Linked DNA regions of Caenorhabditis elegans. The protein of the gene in region 1 purifies or fractionates together with the protein of each later gene. This does not show direct contact. Each region holds a gene or a part of one and is shown in the gene's direction. Other genes may lie near its edges. The genes, in order: snr-2, dnj-13, snr-3 and nsun-5.

The links.
Region 2: the proteins of snr-2 (region 1) and dnj-13 fractionate together in Caenorhabditis elegans (co-fractionation; one large-scale study listed by BioGRID). This does not show direct contact.
Region 3: the proteins of snr-2 (region 1) and snr-3 fractionate together in Caenorhabditis elegans (co-fractionation; one large-scale study listed by BioGRID). This does not show direct contact.
Region 4: the proteins of snr-2 (region 1) and nsun-5 fractionate together in Caenorhabditis elegans (co-fractionation; one large-scale study listed by BioGRID). This does not show direct contact.

Annotation. Positions count from the first base shown.
Region 1 is NC_003279.8:13,337,509-13,340,729, forward strand, and holds snr-2 (putative small nuclear ribonucleoprotein-associated protein B), read left to right. Parts: upstream 1-1,888; 5' UTR 1,889-1,922; coding exon 1,923-1,925; intron 1,926-1,978; coding exon 1,979-2,149; intron 2,150-2,205; coding exon 2,206-2,514; 3' UTR 2,515-2,716; downstream 2,717-3,221. Other genes in the region: W08E3.4 (Major sperm protein), read right to left, coding at 1-56, 107-179, 345-444, 500-665, 974-1,288, 1,336-1,380; ola-1 (Obg-like ATPase 1), read left to right, coding at 2,841-3,026. UniProt on the Caenorhabditis elegans protein: Plays a role in pre-mRNA splicing as a core component of the spliceosomal U1, U2, U4 and U5 small nuclear ribonucleoproteins (snRNPs), the building blocks of the spliceosome.
Region 2 is NC_003280.10:11,543,725-11,547,877, forward strand, and holds dnj-13 (DnaJ homolog subfamily B member 13), read left to right. Parts: upstream 1-1,976; 5' UTR 1,977-1,989; coding exon 1,990-2,127; intron 2,128-2,332; coding exon 2,333-3,060; intron 3,061-3,117; coding exon 3,118-3,247; 3' UTR 3,248-3,636; downstream 3,637-4,153. Other genes in the region: F54D5.9 (F-box domain-containing protein), read right to left, coding at 1-365, 420-596, 645-851, 900-1,047; F54D5.7 (putative glutaryl-CoA dehydrogenase, mitochondrial), read left to right, coding at 3,801-3,846.
Region 3 is NC_003280.10:6,488,331-6,491,519, reverse strand, and holds snr-3 (putative small nuclear ribonucleoprotein Sm D1), read left to right. Parts: upstream 1-1,758; 5' UTR 1,759-1,766; coding exon 1,767-1,845; intron 1,846-2,059; coding exon 2,060-2,164; intron 2,165-2,209; coding exon 2,210-2,311; intron 2,312-2,358; coding exon 2,359-2,453; 3' UTR 2,454-2,689; downstream 2,690-3,189. Other genes in the region: rsp-5 (putative splicing factor, arginine/serine-rich 5), read right to left, coding at 302-409, 455-533, 861-1,112, 1,164-1,351; plpp-1.2 (Phosphatidic acid phosphatase type 2/haloperoxidase domain-containing protein), read right to left, coding at 2,770-2,888, 2,934-3,033, 3,084-3,189. UniProt on the Caenorhabditis elegans protein: Plays a role in pre-mRNA splicing as a core component of the spliceosomal U1, U2, U4 and U5 small nuclear ribonucleoproteins (snRNPs), the building blocks of the spliceosome.
Region 4 is NC_003280.10:14,967,986-14,975,690, forward strand, and holds the start of nsun-5 (26S rRNA (cytosine-C(5))-methyltransferase nsun-5), read left to right. Parts: upstream 1-1,662; coding exon 1,663-1,764; intron 1,765-1,914; exon of another isoform or gene 1,915-1,924; coding exon of another isoform or gene 1,925-2,269; intron 2,270-2,343; coding exon of another isoform or gene 2,344-2,934; exon of another isoform or gene 2,935-3,672; intron 3,673-4,163; coding exon 4,164-4,466; intron 4,467-5,410; coding exon 5,411-5,668; intron 5,669-6,499; coding exon 6,500-6,615; intron 6,616-6,800; coding exon 6,801-6,939; intron 6,940-7,705. Other genes in the region: pole-4 (Transcription factor CBF/NF-Y/archaeal histone domain-containing protein), read right to left, coding at 716-972, 1,022-1,106, 1,163-1,360; metl-2 (tRNA N(3)-methylcytidine methyltransferase), read left to right, coding at 1,925-2,269, 2,344-2,934. UniProt on the Caenorhabditis elegans protein: S-adenosyl-L-methionine-dependent methyltransferase which methylates the carbon-5 position of cytosine 2381 to 5-methylcytosine (m5C2381) in 26S rRNA.

The DNA of each region.
Region 1 (3,221 bases):
GCTTTCATTGCATGAGCCTTCTGAGCATTTTGAAGCTCGTTTTGGAGACGTTGAACCTGAAATTCAAGTTTTTTTTTAAATTTTTCAAAATAAAAAATCTCAGTACCTCTGCACTTTTGCGCATGTAACTTCCTTCCAGCACTGTCAGTTTCGACTTGTACTCATCGACCAGAGCTTTTCTGAAATTTGAGTTGTATCGGGTCTCGACACGATCAAAACTTTTATGTAAAGAGTGTGCGCCTATAAGGGGTACTGTAGTTTTTAATCCGTTTTTTTTTTAAATTTTGATACACCATTAAAGGCGCACGCGATCGTGGCGAGACCCGGAAAAAATTCAAAACTACCTTTGTTGCAATTGTGCATCCAAAGTGATTTTCAGCTGTTTTGCCTGAGTTATATTAGATTCAAGCAGTGCTGTGTCACTTTTCGTCAGGTTTAGAATCGCTGAAATTTTCGCAAATTTAAAATTAAAAAAAACGAAGCAAACGCGCTCTATTACACTTAAGCTGATCCACACGATCCGAACCAATCACTGAAGACGCGTCGAGAGCCGTATGAAAATCGGTTGCCGTCTTTGAAATCTCCACTGCCGACTCGATTTTCATGATGGTTGTGCCGAGATCCAGGGAGATGGATTGGACATTTTCCGGAGAATCGAAGAGTTTCTGTAGGGAAAAATTACTTTCTTTTTTTTTGTAAAGTTTTTAATTCAAGCTGAAATTCAGCTGAAAATCGAGAATCTTTCAGTTTTTTTGCTTAATTGCAATTTGAATTTGCGCGTTTTTGTCAAATGCAAGCGCGCTCCATCGAACAACGCTCTCACAAAAAACGCGGAAATTCAAATCGGAATTTAGCGAAAACTGACAGCTTTTCGGTTTTCAACTTGAAATATCATCTTTTCTGAAGGTTTTCGAAAAGTTTTACTTTATTTTTTTTATATGATATTCAATTATTGTACGAAAATAAAACCAACTTTCGGGTCGAAATCTCCACATTCTGGAATTGATGCAGCTTGAAGCACGATTTCATGTCTCGGTCGGAACTTGTTCTGATAAAGTGTGATACACACTTCAATCGGCTCATCGTCACGCAAAACAGCCTGATTTGGGGTTATGAAATATCGAGTTGGAGCATTTGTCTTGAAAAAATTCAGATATTCCAGAGGCTGCTCACACCTGAGCTTAAATACCAGAAATCTCCAATAAATTGGTCCAACACCAGCTAAACTATTCAATTTCAACTTTTGACACGCATTTTTTGGTTGATCAATATCGAAACACACGAATGTCTGAATAAAATTACCGGATAATTCAAGAAATTTTCGAAAATTCTCACTTGATCCAACACGACATACAACTTATGACCGTTAGACTGCTCCATTCACCACTCTTCGATTGGACTAATATTCGAAATAATCGATTTTTGCATTTTTTATACCCCTCCCCTCACCTTCTCTTCCCCAATTTCTGCTTTCCGTGGGGTCACGCCTTTTTTATTTGAACTGCCGCGCAAATCGATTTAAAGGCGCACGCATTTATACGAATGGGTCTCGTTGCGGCGTCTCTAGATTTTCGAATTATTCTCCAGCAGTTTTGGCTGATTTTCAGCTTGTTTTGTCGGTTTTCAGTTGATTTTTAAGATTTTCTTTCGAAAAAATTGAAAAATTAGTGAATTTAAAGGTTCTTCATCGCTTAAAATTTCAATCAATTTCAAAACCTTGATTTCTCGCCGGTATTTATGTAATTTCAAACGATCGGTTTTCAAACGGTTCTTGTGACTTTTAGAAGTTGTTTTGCAGAAATATTCGTTTGTTTCATCTCTTGTATCATCAGAACTCTTTAATTTCTTTCATTTTGAAAGAGTAAAACTTCAATATTCTTATTTCCAGGTCCTAGACAAAAAATCACAACCAACGCCTCAAGATGGTAAGTTTTTCTACAGTTCTCATGGAGATAAATACAAAATATTTTCTTTTCAGACTATCTCCAAGAATAATAAGATGATGGCTCATCTCAACTACAGGATGAAGATCATCCTTCAGGACGGTAGAACCTTCATCGGATTTTTCAAGGCTTTCGACAAGCATATGAACATTTTACTCGCAGAGTGCGAGGAACACAGACAAATCAAGCCAAAGGCCGGAAAGAAGGTATTGTTTTCTGTTTCTGCAGCGTTGATTGAAGACAAAAACCATTTTATTTTCAGACCGATGGAGAAGAAAAGCGAATTCTCGGCCTCGTACTGGTCCGCGGAGAACATATCGTCTCGATGACCGTCGACGGACCACCACCAAGAGATGACGATTCAGTGAGACTCGCCAAGGCCGGAGGAGCTGGAGGTGTCGGACAAGCCAAGCCAGGAGGCCGTGGAATGCCAGCTATGCCAGGAATGCCGGGAATGCCACCAGGCGGAGCACCAGGAGGCCTCTCTGGAGCCATGCGCGGACACGGAGGACCAGGAATGGCAGCCATGCAGCCAGGATATGGCGGCCCACCAGGAGGACGTCCATTCTAAAATTTTGCTATCCAAATCCGCATGTTTCTATCATTTTTCCCACCGATCTTGTATTTTTCTCTGTTCTTTTCATTTTTTGTGGTAGAAATACCTTTAATTATATATTTAATTTATCGATACTCTCTCGGGTGATCGAGATCTTCCCATCACCCACCAATCTTCGTAAGCTGTTCAGAATCTGGAATAAACTTTTTGAATTTTGAGAGATTCAGTAGGCTAGGTTTTTGATAGCTCAATGGTTTTAAACCCAGAATTCTCTATCTTCTAAATTCTCATCTTTTTTTTATTGTAAAACACTTAAAAGTCGTCAGGGAACCATCAAAAAGATGCCTCCAAAGAAGAACGTCGTCGAGGAGAAGCCCGCGTTGATCGGACGTCTTGGTACCAACCTTAAAGTCGGAATTCTGGGTCTTCCGAACGTTGGAAAGTCGACATTCTTCAATGTGCTCACCAAATCCGAAGCACAGGCTGAAAACTTCCCGTTCTGCACCATCGATCCGAATGAGAGCAGAGTACGTTCTTCTGGAAAATTCCAGCGGAATCCTCTGATTTTAAGCCTTTCCAATCGTGCGAAGTCCTTTGATTTTCGGTGTAATACACGCGGAAAACTGATTTTTGCAAAATTTTACAGTTTTCACTGGATTTTTGGACTATTTATTTAATTATTTAACATTTAAAATAGCCCCAAGAGCTGTTTTACATAGATT
Region 2 (4,153 bases), on another chromosome or scaffold:
AACAGACAACCAGGAGCCAAACTCGATAATCTCCTGTGGAGAAGCTTCATCGATGTCTTGACTCAAGTTGAGGAAGAGTTGGGTCAACCCGGAACGAACTTTCATCTCGAGACCTATCAACTGGCCCGGTTTAGCAGTAAGAACCTTGATAATCGAAGGACGGAGATCAGCGTCGATCATGATTGCAGCTTTTACCATTATACGACGTTCAGAGAACTTCCAATTGTGCGTTATCGTTTCCAGGAGTCTTCCAAAACCATGAAGGGAGCCTCCGAGTTGATCACGCAAATTCCGGCAGATGTTCAGGAAGACTTGAGCGCGGATCTTTGTGTTCATTGTGATCGTGATGGATTTGATGAGGCCACCTGTTAAAATACATTTAGATTTATAAACGAAAATAAAAATATTGCAACACTAACCACATGCAGTGAAAGGATCATTCTCTAAGAATTCTTCATCGTCGGGGCGGAGTGAGCTATTGAGAAAGTCAAGATTATCCAATTGCATTCGACGGAAAAAATCGTGGGTTGAAACGTAGGTTTTGACTCGTGAGCACAACTTTGTGGATGTCAGTGAAAGCGCATTAATGGATTGCACTGAAAAATGTGAATGTTAAAATTTCTGATCAGTACTTCACAACTAACTGTCAAGAATTGTGAAAATATGCGAATAGGCTCTATTCGGCAGGTTTTCCAAGCCCACTGGTGCATCTGGAGATGGCACACATTTCGAGGAAAATTTGACAGGAACACCTAAAAGTGCTCGCAAATCCTCCAAGGAGTACAAAAGCCCATTGTCTGGTGAATCGGTATGAGAGGTTTGAGATAAGTTGTTGGGAGCTTCGAAACTTTCTGAAAATCAAGAAAATTAATTTTAAATTAAAAGAAAAATTGTCGTACCGTCCAACTTCTGGCATACGTTTTTCGATTCAGAGCTTGAACGTTCCCGTTTTACTGTTGCAAAGAACTTCGTGATTGGGGGCGTCGAATCGGAATTTCTTCGCTTTCTAGCCAACAATCGGAACGGTGGCTCGGTTCGCCGAAACATTTTTATACGAAAAATACTTTAAAATCAGAGGAAAATACTTTGGGACCGGTGAAAAAGCATGGAGGTTCGCACAAACTTGTTTAGGAAAACAGAAATATGTCTCCGTGGCAGGACCATACTGTGCGCCGTTGATGTCCCTTTGATACAGTACTCTTCGCATTATTTATTTTTTTTCGGCGCGCCTAGGGGTTTTCGAGCGCAGAGTTCAGGAGGCCTTCTGGATTATGGATAGAGGCTTGATTTTTAAAATTGTTTAATTCAATACAGTTTTATTAAAGTTTTTTCTAAAAATCTTTTCTAAAAATAATATCTGATTGCTGTTTATACACGAGAACAAAACTAATTTCATGGAAACAATTTTTTCTCTTTATTTTCTCTTCGAATAATTTAAATTTTAACAATTCAGGTTTTAAATAATCAATTTTTAAATAAGCAAGTGAATTTTAAGCATAACTTTTCTTCCTAGTGTACGTAAATCATTCTTTCCAACAAACATATTTTTTCGTGACGAAACTTCGCCTTCCAGAATATTCTTTTTTCAGAAAATAAATACCAAAAAGCACAATTTCTTATCTCTTGCTCATTCTTTTCTTTGTATCGTGCTCATGCTTTTATTCATTCCTCATTTTTATCTTGCGAAACCAATGTATTTTCAATAAAAAAAACGAGTGATGCATGTGCGCTCCACCGGCCGACGGAAGATCGAACATGCACTGCGCTTCGCGAGTAAATAGAACGCTCTGGAAAGTTCCGCACTCTTCTCTCTCATGATTCGGCGCACTCTCTCTTCCATTTCTCCGTGTTTCCTCTTCTGATGTTGACCCATATTTATTCTGCCGGGTGTATTCTTTTTATCTATCTGTTGCTTCATTTATTCCGTTAACCTGTTACTGGTTAATATTTCAAAAATTCATATGATTTCTTTTCAGATTACTTTCCACAATGGGAAAAGACTACTACAAAGTGCTGGGCATCAGCAAAGGTGCAACAGACGATGAAATCAAAAAGGCTTATCGTAAAATGGCTTTGAAATACCATCCGGATAAGAATAAGGAAGCTGGAGCTGAGAACAAATTCAAGGTATTTTTTAAAATTTAGTTTTCTAATTTAAAAAAAAGTTTTTGGTCCTCGGTGAAGGATACTGTACTTTTCATGACCAAGTTGTTATTTTTAAGCACTCGATTTAAAAACGATTTTAATCAAAATATAGAAAATCCCAGTAAAATTGCAGTTTTTCTGGGAATTTATTGATGTTAACCTGAAATAATATTTTTTTTAATTACAGGAAATTGCCGAAGCTTACGATGTTCTTTCCGATGATAAGAAAAAGAAGATTTACGATCAATTCGGAGAGGAAGGACTAAAGGAAGGTGGACCAGGAGCCGGAGGTGGTGGCGGCGGTGGAATGCACTACGAATTCCGTGGAGACCCAATGAACATTTTCTCATCATTCTTTGGAGGATCCGATCCGTTCGGTGCTGGTGGACCTGGAATGTTTGATCTTGGTGGTGGAGCCGGAGGCCCGAATATGTTCTTCATGAATCAAGGTGGTATGGATGACGGTATGTTCGGCGGCATGCATCAAGGTGGAAGACGTGGACATGCTCGTCAAGATCCTGCTGTGCTCCATGATCTTTCTGTCAGTTTGGAGGATGTACTGAAAGGTACAACGAAGAAGATGAAGATTACAAGAAAAGTTATGACGGACAATGCTCAACGCCTAGAAGACAAAGTTTTGACGGTCACTATTAAACCAGGATGGAAGTCAGGCACAAAGATCACATTCCCAAAAGAAGGTGATCAGCACCCGAACAGAACTCCCGCCGACATAGTCTTCGTCATCAAGGATAAGCCACACCCGAAATTCAAGCGAGAGGGATCTGACATCAAACGCGTCGAAAAGATCTCCCTGAAGTCTGCATTGACTGGCCTTGATATTATGATTCCAACGTTGGATGGAGCAGACTACCGTCTTCAATTGAACGATGTCATTAAGCCGGGAACTACAAGACGGTAGGTTAAAAATTTTGAGATTCACGAGAAGTAAATTATTAATTTTAATTCTTTCAGGCTGACTGGAAAAGGACTTCCAAATCCAAAGTCTCCATCTCACAGAGGAGATTTAATCATTGAGTTTGACGTGGAATTCCCATCACAACTCAATCCAACTCAACGGGAAGTGATTCTGAGGAACTTCTAATCGCATTTTTCAATTTTCCCTCTCTTGCTTATCAATCAACTACAGTCGAACCAAGACGGGTAAACAATCACTCTTGATTGCCATTGGATTCGATTTAGCAGTATTCAGTCGCCTTGTTCGATGTTTTCAAGCGGGTATTTAAGAGATTTTTTATTAGGATGTTGTTCTTTTTATCACCCATGTTTCATTGTTAATTACCCATCTCACACATATTGCCCATAGTTATTCAGATGCATTTTTTATCGTTTATCAAGTCTCATTCTAATGACATGAAAACCTTCATTGACAAGATACTCGGTGTAATTGTATCCCCCCTCAACCGCCCCCTCTTTCAATTTTAATTCGTGCTTCCTTATCAACATTTCCGATAAATAAACTTTTAAATTAAAGCAAAAGAAAGTTTTGTGATTTTCGTGTGTTCAGTTGATCTGTCTCCTCATCGTATCGATTGTCTTGTCCTTGGCCACGTGGGGGTAAAAGATGATATCGGGCGTTGAAAGAAAGGAGATGAGGGCACACCATCATCATTCTTTACCAGTTTGCAGCGGCAAAAATGCTGACCAGAGGATTCACGTCAATTGGCAAGATTGCAAGTAGAGGTAATTAATGTTTCAGTTAATATTTAAGGCTGGTGTAGTCGAATTTAATTAAGACTGCTGTAAAAATACAATAAAAACCGCAACAATCACCTAAAATTAGCCGAAAACAATAATCAACATATTAATTATATGATTGTCCGAGAGGAGTACACGCAGAGGGCGCTCGTTCGCGCGCGAAGTTCAAAAAATTTAGAATTATTCGCTATTTCGAAGCCATAACTCACGTTAACGAAATTTTTGTGATGTATCGTTTTTACATATCGTCTAAATTCGACTACACCCAAAAAATTATTCTCAAACTTGAGCT
Region 3 (3,189 bases), on another chromosome or scaffold:
AATAATAATGACTATAAAAAGTACAACGGCAATTTCCAGAACAGTAAAAATAACAAAGCAGTAAATTAGCCCAAAATTGCGTTCGACCTTCAAATTCCCCAATATTGTACAGTAGTTGAAGTAATCGTGGTGAGACCTGTGTGAATAATACCATGTGCCTTTAAATATTTTTAAAAAATGAAGGAAGTCTCCGCTCGGTTTTATTCGGGAATTATTAAAATCAGAACAGCTCTGAGGATGAACAAATATTATAAAATAGAAGTGGTAAATGAACAACAGTAAACGGTATAAAAACACAATTTTAATCCTTTGGAGATCCTGGAGACGGAGAGCGAGACACACTGCGATTGCTGCCATCTCGGCTGTGACTTCTTCCACGGCTCACGCTGCGCTTTCTATCTCCGCCGTTCTGAAACCATATGATTTTTACTATACAAGCACATAAATGAATTACCTTTGGGGGAGATCCACTTCGGGTTCTGCTTCGATCTTTTGCTGGCAGTGGTGAACGAGATCTCGACGCTTCACGCTTCCTAAAATATAATTCTTGCATTTAATAGAGTCGGAATCTAAAGGACTCGAATACGAAACCGATATGTTTGCGCGAAGTTGTCTGATTCAAAGTTAGGGATCTCACTCTTTTAATCGAAACAGCGGCTTTTGGTAACTGTGGGGACTGAACGAGAAGTGAATTGAAATGTATTGATAGTTGACCCATACTGTGCTCGAACTGTCTCAGCTATGTGTATGCCATTGCGATGTGGGCTTGTAGGTGATATTGATTTCTCATTGAACTGTGGCTAAAACGGTTCGTGATGTGGCACCCTTCCAAAACAATCCACACATTAAAGTTAACTTACAAGTCTCTTTTCGGGCTCGGCGAACGGGATTCGCTTCTGCGACGACTTTCACGAACTGGTGATCTGGATCTGGAGGAGCTTCTGGAACGGGATCTGCGAGAACGTTTGCGATCACGAGAGCGGGAACGTCTTCTTGGTGGAGTACGTGAACGACGTCTAGGAGAGCGGGAACGTCGTCGTGGTGATCTCGATCCATGACGGTCATTGCCGCGTGGTTTTCCGCGAGCCATTTCCACGACAAGGCGCATAGAGCTGAAAATAAAAAGTTAGAACATTTTTAATTTTGGTTTATTATTTTATTACCTTCCTTCCATGGTTTTTCCATCCAAATCATGGCATGCGTCTTCAGCATCACGAGAATCTTCAAAATCGACAAAGGCAAATCCATACTTCATTGAGATGTTATTAATTTTGCCATATCCTTTTAAGAATCGCTCAACGTCGCGTTCGCGTGCATTGTATGGAATTTTTCCTAGATAGAGGCGCGGCATTTCTGGAAAATCACTTTATATTCAAAAATTAATTTATTAAACGCCGTTCATTAAGCCCAGTAAAAAAAACACATGAATTCGAGAAATCAATCTCAATTTTAAGAAGAGAAAGTCCTAAGTCAAGAAAAAGAAATTCTATCAAAAGCGCACACATGAAAACGAGTGCGACCGTACTCCTAGTCGTTGCGAGACCACTTGGCATGCCGCCAAGTCTTTTGCATTTTCGAATGTGCTCAAAATGACTGGATTCCAGTCACTGGAAATCTGTTTTGAAACATTTTTCCTTGATGCAGATGTTTTTATTTGTCATAACCTCTTTCTTATCAGTTAAAAGTTATTTTTATCGTCGTATTTTCTATTGAATTCCATCGTTTCCTTTTATTCTTCTATAATTGTATGTATTTCAGGTAGAAAAATGAAGTTGGTCAGATTCCTGATGAAGTTGTCTCACGAGACCGTCAATATTGAATTGAAGAACGGTACTCAGGTGTCCGGTGAGTATTTTTTAAGATTAATTGTCTGCTTGAAAGTGTTTTAATCGAGAAGTTGAGTTATTAACCAACCAAAATCAATCTTTCACGAATTGCTCGACATTTGTTATAGTGTTTTTATATTAGGATACATTTTCAAAGTCATAAATCCGAATAATATTGTATAATTTTAATTACTGCAAAAACGTAACTAAACAACTAAATCGATTTTATTTAGGCACTATCATGGGAGTCGATGTTGCGATGAACACACATCTTCGTGCCGTCTCAATGACAGTTAAGAACAAGGAGCCAGTCAAACTCGACACGCTTTCAATCAGAGGTTATTAAAAATCATATTTGAATAAATATAATTTAAGATTTTCAGGTAACAACATCAGATACATCATTTTGCCGGATCCACTCGCTCTTGACACCCTTTTAATCGACGATGAACCAAGAAAGAAGGCCCGTGCCGCTCGCGCCGGAGGTAGCTTTAAGCGTCTTTTCGACAGATTATTAATATTTTTATTTCAGCTTCACGTGGACGTGGTCGTGGTGGAATGCGCGGAGGAAGAGGAGGTCGTGGTCGCGGACGCGGAGGACCACGCGGAGGCGGTCCACGTCGTTAAGCTATCATCGGGTCATAGCAAATTTGAGTATCGAACGTCCTATACTTTTGTATCACGTTCCTCAAGTTTAATTCACATTTTGTTCCCGTTAAAGTTGCTGACTTTTGTTTAAATCTTTTGAAATAATTTATTACGGCTTTCCGAGTCAACACAAATTTCCCAAGTTTCGCAGCCCGTGAGAACAACTGTACTTTATTTTGTTGTTACGTTCTGATCTCTATAAATTTCTTCAATTCAAGCATTAAGAGCAACAACATAAGGGCAAAAATTATTTATATTTAAAACAAAAAATTCGAATAAAAACAAGAAAATTGCATTATGCACTTTGCGGAACCGGCAACAAAATTGTATCCGAGTCCTGCGGTCCAGTAGCTTCAAAAACAATAGAACTATCCGTAGAAGGTAAAACTGCATCCAATCGATGTCGCTCCTCATCTGGAAAAAAATATGTAATTGAGTTAAAATTTACGATGGACCAACCTTCAGAGTTTCTGGGAGTACGGGGTGGTCGAGGAAGCAGAAGAGGTTGTGTTTCAGATTCAGTTGAATTGTTTGAGAACAAATCTGTCCAGAAGGTACACTGAAAGCAGAAAAAATGCGAAAGTTCCCAAACACTCATAATAATATTACAGTGTAAACAGCCAAGAATATTCCAATGAAAATTCCGACAAGAACATCGCTCCAATGATGCTTATTATCAGTGATTCTGGAGAAGCTAATTCCAAGTCCAATCATA
Region 4 (7,705 bases), on another chromosome or scaffold:
AAATTGTACGCATCCTATGAATTTTCCTACATCTATTTTGAAAAGTAAGCAAGTTCTATGAAAATATTTTTTTTAAAACGGAAACAAATGTTAAAAGCCCCTAATTGTTGGGTCTCGTTAGGTATTTGCGGCAAAACCGTAAATTCAAATGATTTCGCATGTTTTTTAAAAGTATTTTCGTTACTTAAAAAAAAAATTTTTTACTTAAAAAAATTGAGTCATTTCCAAATTACACGCGAAACCGGTCTCAACACGATAAATAAATACATTTTTGTTAAATGCAAAAGGGTGTGTGCCTTTAAATAGTACTGTATATTCAAACTTTTATTGCTTTGGAGTTTTATTGATTTTTTCATATTTTCAGGATTAATATGAATAAATATATTTTTAACTCATGAATATATCATAATTATAAATCAAAGAAAACTTTTTTAAAAATCGATTAAAATTCAACAGCGACGAAAGTTTGAAACTACAGTACTCTTTAAAGGCGCACATATTTTTCAAAAATTTGTCGCGTCGAGACCCGATACCGTATTTTTGGCGAAAAAAAAAATCAAAAATTGCTGTCCATTTCTAATTCCGAAGGACCTTCCTGAAAATTTATTTTCCCTGAAAAAAAAGTGACTAGACGAAGAAGAATAAATCGTTGATGTAAGTAAATTTATTCAAATAAAGAGAAAAAAATCAAAACTAAATACAAAAATATATAAAATCAAAATTGCTCGGCAAATTTATCTCTCGCGATTTCTTCATTTTCATCGATTTCGAGAACGGTCTCCGGAAGCTCTTCATCTTCTTCTTCTTCCACGTGGATCTCCTCTTCTTCCTCGATAATCGTTTCCTCCTCTACAACCGTCTCATCCTGACCGGAATTCGCATTCACTTTTCGCTTCTTTGGCTCCAACTTCGGCCACCCATCCAGAGCATCTTCCAGGAAAGCGAAGGCCCACGTCTTCTTGATAGCTTTATCTGCAAAAAATCGATTTTATTAGCTGAAATTTGAGTTTTTTCCACCAACCAATGTCCTTCGTCTGGACGGTTTTTCGTTTTTCCAGCGCTGCGTTCTGATTCGCCGCGTTGCTCAGCTCCTTGATGAAGAGCTCCTGGAAATTAAAAAAATATAATGAAAATTCGAAGAAAAAATGCGATTTTCTCTCACCGCCGCCTTCGCCATCAATTGCAGTGCCTCATTGTTGAGCATCTCGACGTCCGGATTCATTCTGACCACTTTTTTGACTCTTCCCAGTGGCAATTGCGATCGGACGAGCTCTTCGACGTGCTCCTCGATTTCTCGCACGTCCTCCTCGCTCATTTGCGCGATCGGAGCGGCTTTCTTGGTTTTCTTTCGCCAGGCCATGTTTTAAATCTGAAAAATATTCAAAATTAAGCAAATATTTGAAGAAAAACAATAGAAAATGCATTTTAAAATGCGAAAAATCAGAAAAAAAATAAATTTAAAAAATCAAATTTTCAATTTTTTCCGCTCTGGACGCAAACACCATCACGCGCAAAGGCAGACGAGAAAGTGCGCTCCATTGCAAAAAATATTTTTAATTCTTTTTTTCTAATGTTTCTTGCTTTTTTTCTCAATTTCATCTTGAAATATTGCTTTCCACTATTGAAAAATTATATTTTTTGTCGAAAACTATTCAAATTTAGATGGCAACCGATGCGCTGTACAACGAGGTCGCCGAAATTATCCGCTGCGTTTTGGCCAAGGAGAAAAGTGTGAGAAATGCGGTCTACGGGAGTTCGTATAAAGTTAGTTTAGCAGTTTTACGGAAAATCAATTCGTGGAAAGCAATATTTTATTATTTGCTCTGTTTCTTCTTTTGCTGTTGGATTTTCTTCCGTTTTATCTCGTTTTCTACCTCTCAAAATCCATTGTTTAAATTATTTTCCAATTCTCACAGGTAATAAAATGAAAGACGAGCCAATCATGGCCTGCGCCGAAGAGAATCCCGACGAAAAACCCAAATGCAACCCCTTCGGAACCCGATTTTTGACCGATGACACCAAAGTTTTCGAGCACAACGCATGGGACGACGTGGAATGGTCCCCAGAGCAACAGGAAGAAGCTCAGCGGATTGTGCAAGGTCAAAAGTCGATGAAGGTTGATGAGGAGAAGGCGATGCGGCTTTTAAGCACCCCAGCGGATCAATGGGATGCTTTTTATGCTCATAATGAGAATAGATTCTTCAAAGACAGGAATTGGCTGTTAAAAGAGTTCCCAGAGCTTAATGTGGAGGATGAGAGTAATTTACAGGTAATTTACAGGTAATTTGAGCATTAAATATTCAAAAAAAAAACATTAAAACATAAAAAAACCTTGATTTTCAGAAAGAAAAGATAGAAATACTGGAAGTTGGCTGTGGCGTCGGAAATACCACGTTCCCACTGCTCCAAGTGAACAATTCCAGCTCCCGGCTCATGCTGCACAGCTGTGATTATGCTCCAAACGCGATTCGAGTCCTGAAATCCCAGGACGCCTACGATCCGGAGAAAATGAACGCATTTGTGTGGGATATCACGCAACCGGCTTCCCAGGAGGCTCCAAACGTCGGATCTCTAGACTATATTGTGTGTATCTACGTGCTGTCGGCTATCCATCCGGATAATATCAAAAATGCTCTGAAAAATCTCGTCCGGCTGCTCAAACCCGGTGGAAGTCTGCTGCTCAAAGACTACGGGAGATACGATTTAACGCAGTTGCGATTCAAAAAAGATCGACTAATCGACGGAAATTTGTACTGCCGAGGAGACGGAACCCTGGTCTATTTCTTCGATATGGAAGAGTTGGAGACGCTGCTCGCCGAGCACGGGCTTCAGAAGAAAGTGATGCACGTGGATCGACGGCTCATTGTGAATCGAGCGAAACAAGTGAAAATGTACCGGCAGTGGATTCAGGGCAAATTTTTGAAGTCTTGTTAATTGATTTTTTTTTGTTTTTTTTTTTATTGAAATTGTTGTTTTTAATCTAGAAAATCGGCTCGAAAACTCATTTTTCAGTGAAAAATAACTAAAAATTGTGAAATTTTGTCTCGAAAAAGGCAAAAATTCAATTTTTCTAGTAAAAACTGATCGAATTTCAAATTTCCAATTGAAAATTGGATTTTTCGAATTTTTTTTTGGTGAAAAAGGTGCAAAATTTGTGAAATTTTGGCTCAAAAATAGGCGAAAATTCAATTTTTCTACTAAAAACTGATCAAATTCGATTTTCCCATTGAAAATTGGATTTTTCGAATTTTTTTTTGGTGAAAAAGTCCAAAATTTCAGAAATTTTGGCTCAAAAATGTCCGAAAAATTCTATTTTTCACTATTTTTCGAGTAAAAACTGATCGATATCGAATTTTCCACTAAAAATCCGGTTTTTCGTTGGATTTTTCGAATTTTTTGGTGAAAAAGGTTCAAATTTTGGCTAAAAAATGATGGAATTTCAGTTTAATTTCCCGGATTTTCCCGTTTTTACAGAATTTTCCCACTAAAAATCTGATTTTCTGTTGAATTTTTATCATTTTTGGTCAAAAAAATCGATTTTTCTCTTTAAAATTTCACTTTTCTCTCCAATTTTCTAGTTTTTACTCCATTTTTCAGTATTTTTATTCTGAAAATTTCGAATTCGAGCCGATTTTGTCCAATTTTCCACATTCTTGCTGCAATAAATTGTTCTTTTTTAAAGAAAAAGTCTAAGCATTTCGTGCACAACCCCTGCCTGTTTTGAAGGCGGCCTACGCCTAGTTGATAGGCAGACAGGCACCTGAGGCGTGTCTGCCTACCACAAAATCACTCCAAATGTCGTTGCGAGACCCACCGCAAGGGAAATCAGAGCGTGTTCCTTTAAACTTGTCCCAATTTTTTAAACATAAGCGCGTAGGTCAAGGTGATATATATCAGCGCCTAGGCGGCAGGCAGGCACCTATGCCTAGACGTTCCTACCACAGAAACACTCCAAGTGTCGCTGCGAGACCCACCACGAGGAAAACCGCATGTCCCTTTAAACTTGACCTAATTTTTCGAACAGATAAGCGTACGACCTGCCTGCCTTCAAAGCCTAGGCGACAGGCAGGCACCTAGGCCTGAGACGTGCTTGCCTACCAGCGTTCCAAGAGAATAAAACAGCATGTCCCTTTAAACTTGACCTAATTTTTTGAATTTTCCAGAACAAAAAGGCGCTTCTCCGACTTTCGTGTGAATCGCTCAAATTTCGGCCGGTTTTCGATGAAATTCTACAAGATAAGGAGCTAAAATCGATGAAACGCGATGCGAATATCGGTGGATCCGTCGAGCTGCTCTATGTGCTCATGTATGAGACACTTGTTGGCTCCGGATTGACCAGATGCTCTCAGGAGTTGAAATCTGTAATTTCAAGGAGAATTCAGAGGATTAAGGAGGTGGAGCACGCGATGCAAGACGAGGGAAGAGGAATTAAGGCGATGAAAGAAGCGGACGATGGAATGAAAAAGGTGCTTTGAGATGGAAATTTTAAATTTCCCGCTAGAAATTGACTGAAATTTCGAGAAAAACCCCGAAAATCTGAATGAATTTCGAAAAAATCGAATAAACAGTTTAAATTAACTGAAAATTTGAATTTCTCGCTGAAAATGACTGAATTTTCGAGAAAAAAAAAATTGAAAACCTGAAAAACCTGAATACATCCAAAAAAAATCAAACTTTTTTATAAAGAATTTTTTTAACGAAAAAAAAACCGGAAAAAGCCTGAAAATCTGCAAAAATTCGAATAAATCGAATAAAAAACTATTAAATTTCGAAAAAAAATTCCGAAAAAATCTGAAAAAAACGGAAAATAATTTTTGGAAAAAAATCGAAAAAAAATCCGAAAAAAAACCTGAAAAAAAACCGGAATACATCGAAAAAATAGGAAAAAATCCAAAAAAAAATCCGAAATTAAAAAAAAATTTAAAACCTGAAAATTTCGCGGAAATGGTGTCAAAAATGAAGGATGATGAGGTGTATGTGGATCCGCATGTCGAGAATTTGATTATTTTCGCGCCGAATATTCAGAAATTTTATGAATATTGGATGGTTGAGCAGAGATATTTGATTTTACAGGATAAGGTGAATTTTGATGGAAAAAATTCTGAATACATCCGAAAAATTTCGGAAAATTTTTTTTTTGAAAAAAATTCGAAAAAAAACCGAAAAAAAATCTGAAAACCTTTAAAAAAAAGCCGAAAAAAAAATCGAAAAAAAACTTTAAAAAATCGATTTAAAAATTGAAAAATTCTGAAAAAATTTCGAAAAAAATCCGTTGAAAAAATTGAAAACCTGAAAAAATTGGAATAAATCCGAAAAAATCGGGAAAAAATTTTTGAACTTTTTTTTTAACTGAAAAAAAATTCGAAAAAAAACTGATTTTTAAAACTAAATTCAACATTTTTTTTCGCAGATCCAAATCCCCCGATATGCGCGTATCAATACACTGAAATGGACTGCAGATGAAGCTATGAAGACTCTCGAAACCGAAAAATGGAAGATTCTCGGGACACTGAAACCCGAGAATTTCGCGGAAATGGTGACAAAAATGAAGGATGATGAGGTGTATGTGGATCCGCATGTCGAGAATTTGATTATTTTTGCGCCGAATATTCAGAATTTTTATGAATATTGGATGGTTGAGCAGAGATATTTGATTTTACAGGATAAGGTGAATTTTGATGGAAAAAATTTAAGTTTTCCAGTAAAATTCTGAATAAAAAGCTTAAAAAAATGTTTAAAAACGTAATTTTTAATCTAAAAAACAAAAAAAAATTAAATTAAATTTTCAAATTACACAGAAAAAACACCAGAATTTTTAAATTTTAAATAAACAATTTTAGGAAAAGATTACACAAATTAAAAAAAATTAATTTTTTGCAAATAGCTAGAAAAATCACATTTTTGTCTCGAAAATTCGAATTTTGTAATAGAAAAACTTGATAATTTCCCCAAAAAAAAAAGAGATTTTTTGAATAAAAAATACAAAATTAAACTTGAATTTTTTTTTATTTGAAATAATTTTTCCATTTAAAAATCCGAAAAAATTCAAGAAAAAAAATCTGAAAAGTCGGAAAATTCCGAAAAAACATCAAAAAAAAATTGAAAAAATCCGGAAAAAATTCGAGAAAAAATCCAAAAAAAAAAACCAAACAAATTCGAACACAACTGATAAATTTTCGTTTAAAAAATTAACAAATCTGAAAAAATCCGGAAAAAATTCGAGAAAAATTCGAGAAAAAAATCCGAAAAATTCGATAAAAAACCCAAAAATTCCGGAAAAAATCTAAAACCAATTCGGAGAAAATCCAAAAAAAAATTCGAAGAAGATCGGAAAAAAGTTCGTAAAACAAACTAATAAATTTCAATTTATAAAAAAAATCCAATAAATCTAAAAAGTTTGAACAAATTCGAAAAAAAAAGAAGAATTCCGAAATTATCAGAAAGAGAAAAAATAATTATCTGTTTCCTAAATTTCCAATAAAATTTTTCAAATTTTCAGGCTTCATGTCTCCCGGCCTTCCTGCTCAATCCACGTCCCGGCTCCCAAGTATTCGACACGTGTGCAGCTCCTGGAATGAAGACGAGCCATGCGGCGGCAATTATGGAGAATCAGGGGTACCTGAAATTTTTTCCCCATAAAAAAATCTGGAAAAATAAAGAAAACCGCAAAAATCTGAAAAGTCGGAAAATTTTGAAAAATTCCAAAAAAAAAATCTGAAAAAAATCCAAAATTTTCTAGAAAAAAACCTGAAAAATATTTTTTTTTGCAAAATCTAAAACTTCACAAAAAAAAATTCCAGAAAAGTATGGGCGATGGATCGTGCGGCGGACCGTGTAGCCACTATGAAGCAGCTCCTTGACGCCTCGAAAGTCGCAATCGCCAGCTCATTTTGTGGAGATTTTCTGAAAACTGACGTCACTGATAAGAAATTTTCAAAGGTTTGTTGCAGAAAAAAATATTCGAAAAATTTGGCTTTAAAAAATTAAATTCGAGCTTCAAATTTGGAAGCTTTCAAGTTTCATGAAAAAATATTTTTTTTTAAATTCAATTTTGTATCTAAAAATCGAAAAAAAATTCGACAAAATCTCAAATTCAGAAAATTCGTAAAAATCCGAATTGTTTTTATTAAAAATGTGAAAAATTGAAAATGAACCGAAAAACCCGGAAAAAAATTCGAAAACATTTTTTTAAAGTGAAACTCGAAAAAATCCGATTTTTTTACCCTGAAAAAGCCAAAAATAAATCGAAAAAAAATTTTTTTTAATCCAAAAAAAATCAGAAAAAATCAGGCAAAATCTGAGAAGTCAGAAAATTTTGAAAAAATTAGAAAAAATCCAGATTTTTTTCAAAATTAAAAAACCCAAAATTTTTTTGCACAATTCCAAAAAAAATCCGAAAAAAATTTGAAAAAAAACCAAAAAAAATGTTAGAATCCTTTTTAAAAAATCTTAAATAATTCGAATAAAAATCTTAAATGCCGGAAAATTTTGAAAAATTTCATAAAAATATGGAAAAAATTGAAAAAAAAATCCCAAATGTTTTTAACCTGAAAATACCAAAAATAAACAGAAAACCCGGTAAAATTTTTGTAAAATTTTGAAAAATTCAAGTGAAACTTTTTTTCCGATTTTTTATTACTTTTTCCAGTTTCCAAAGATTCTCATCAAATTTTCAATCAAAAATCCCCGATTTTTCTGAAATTCC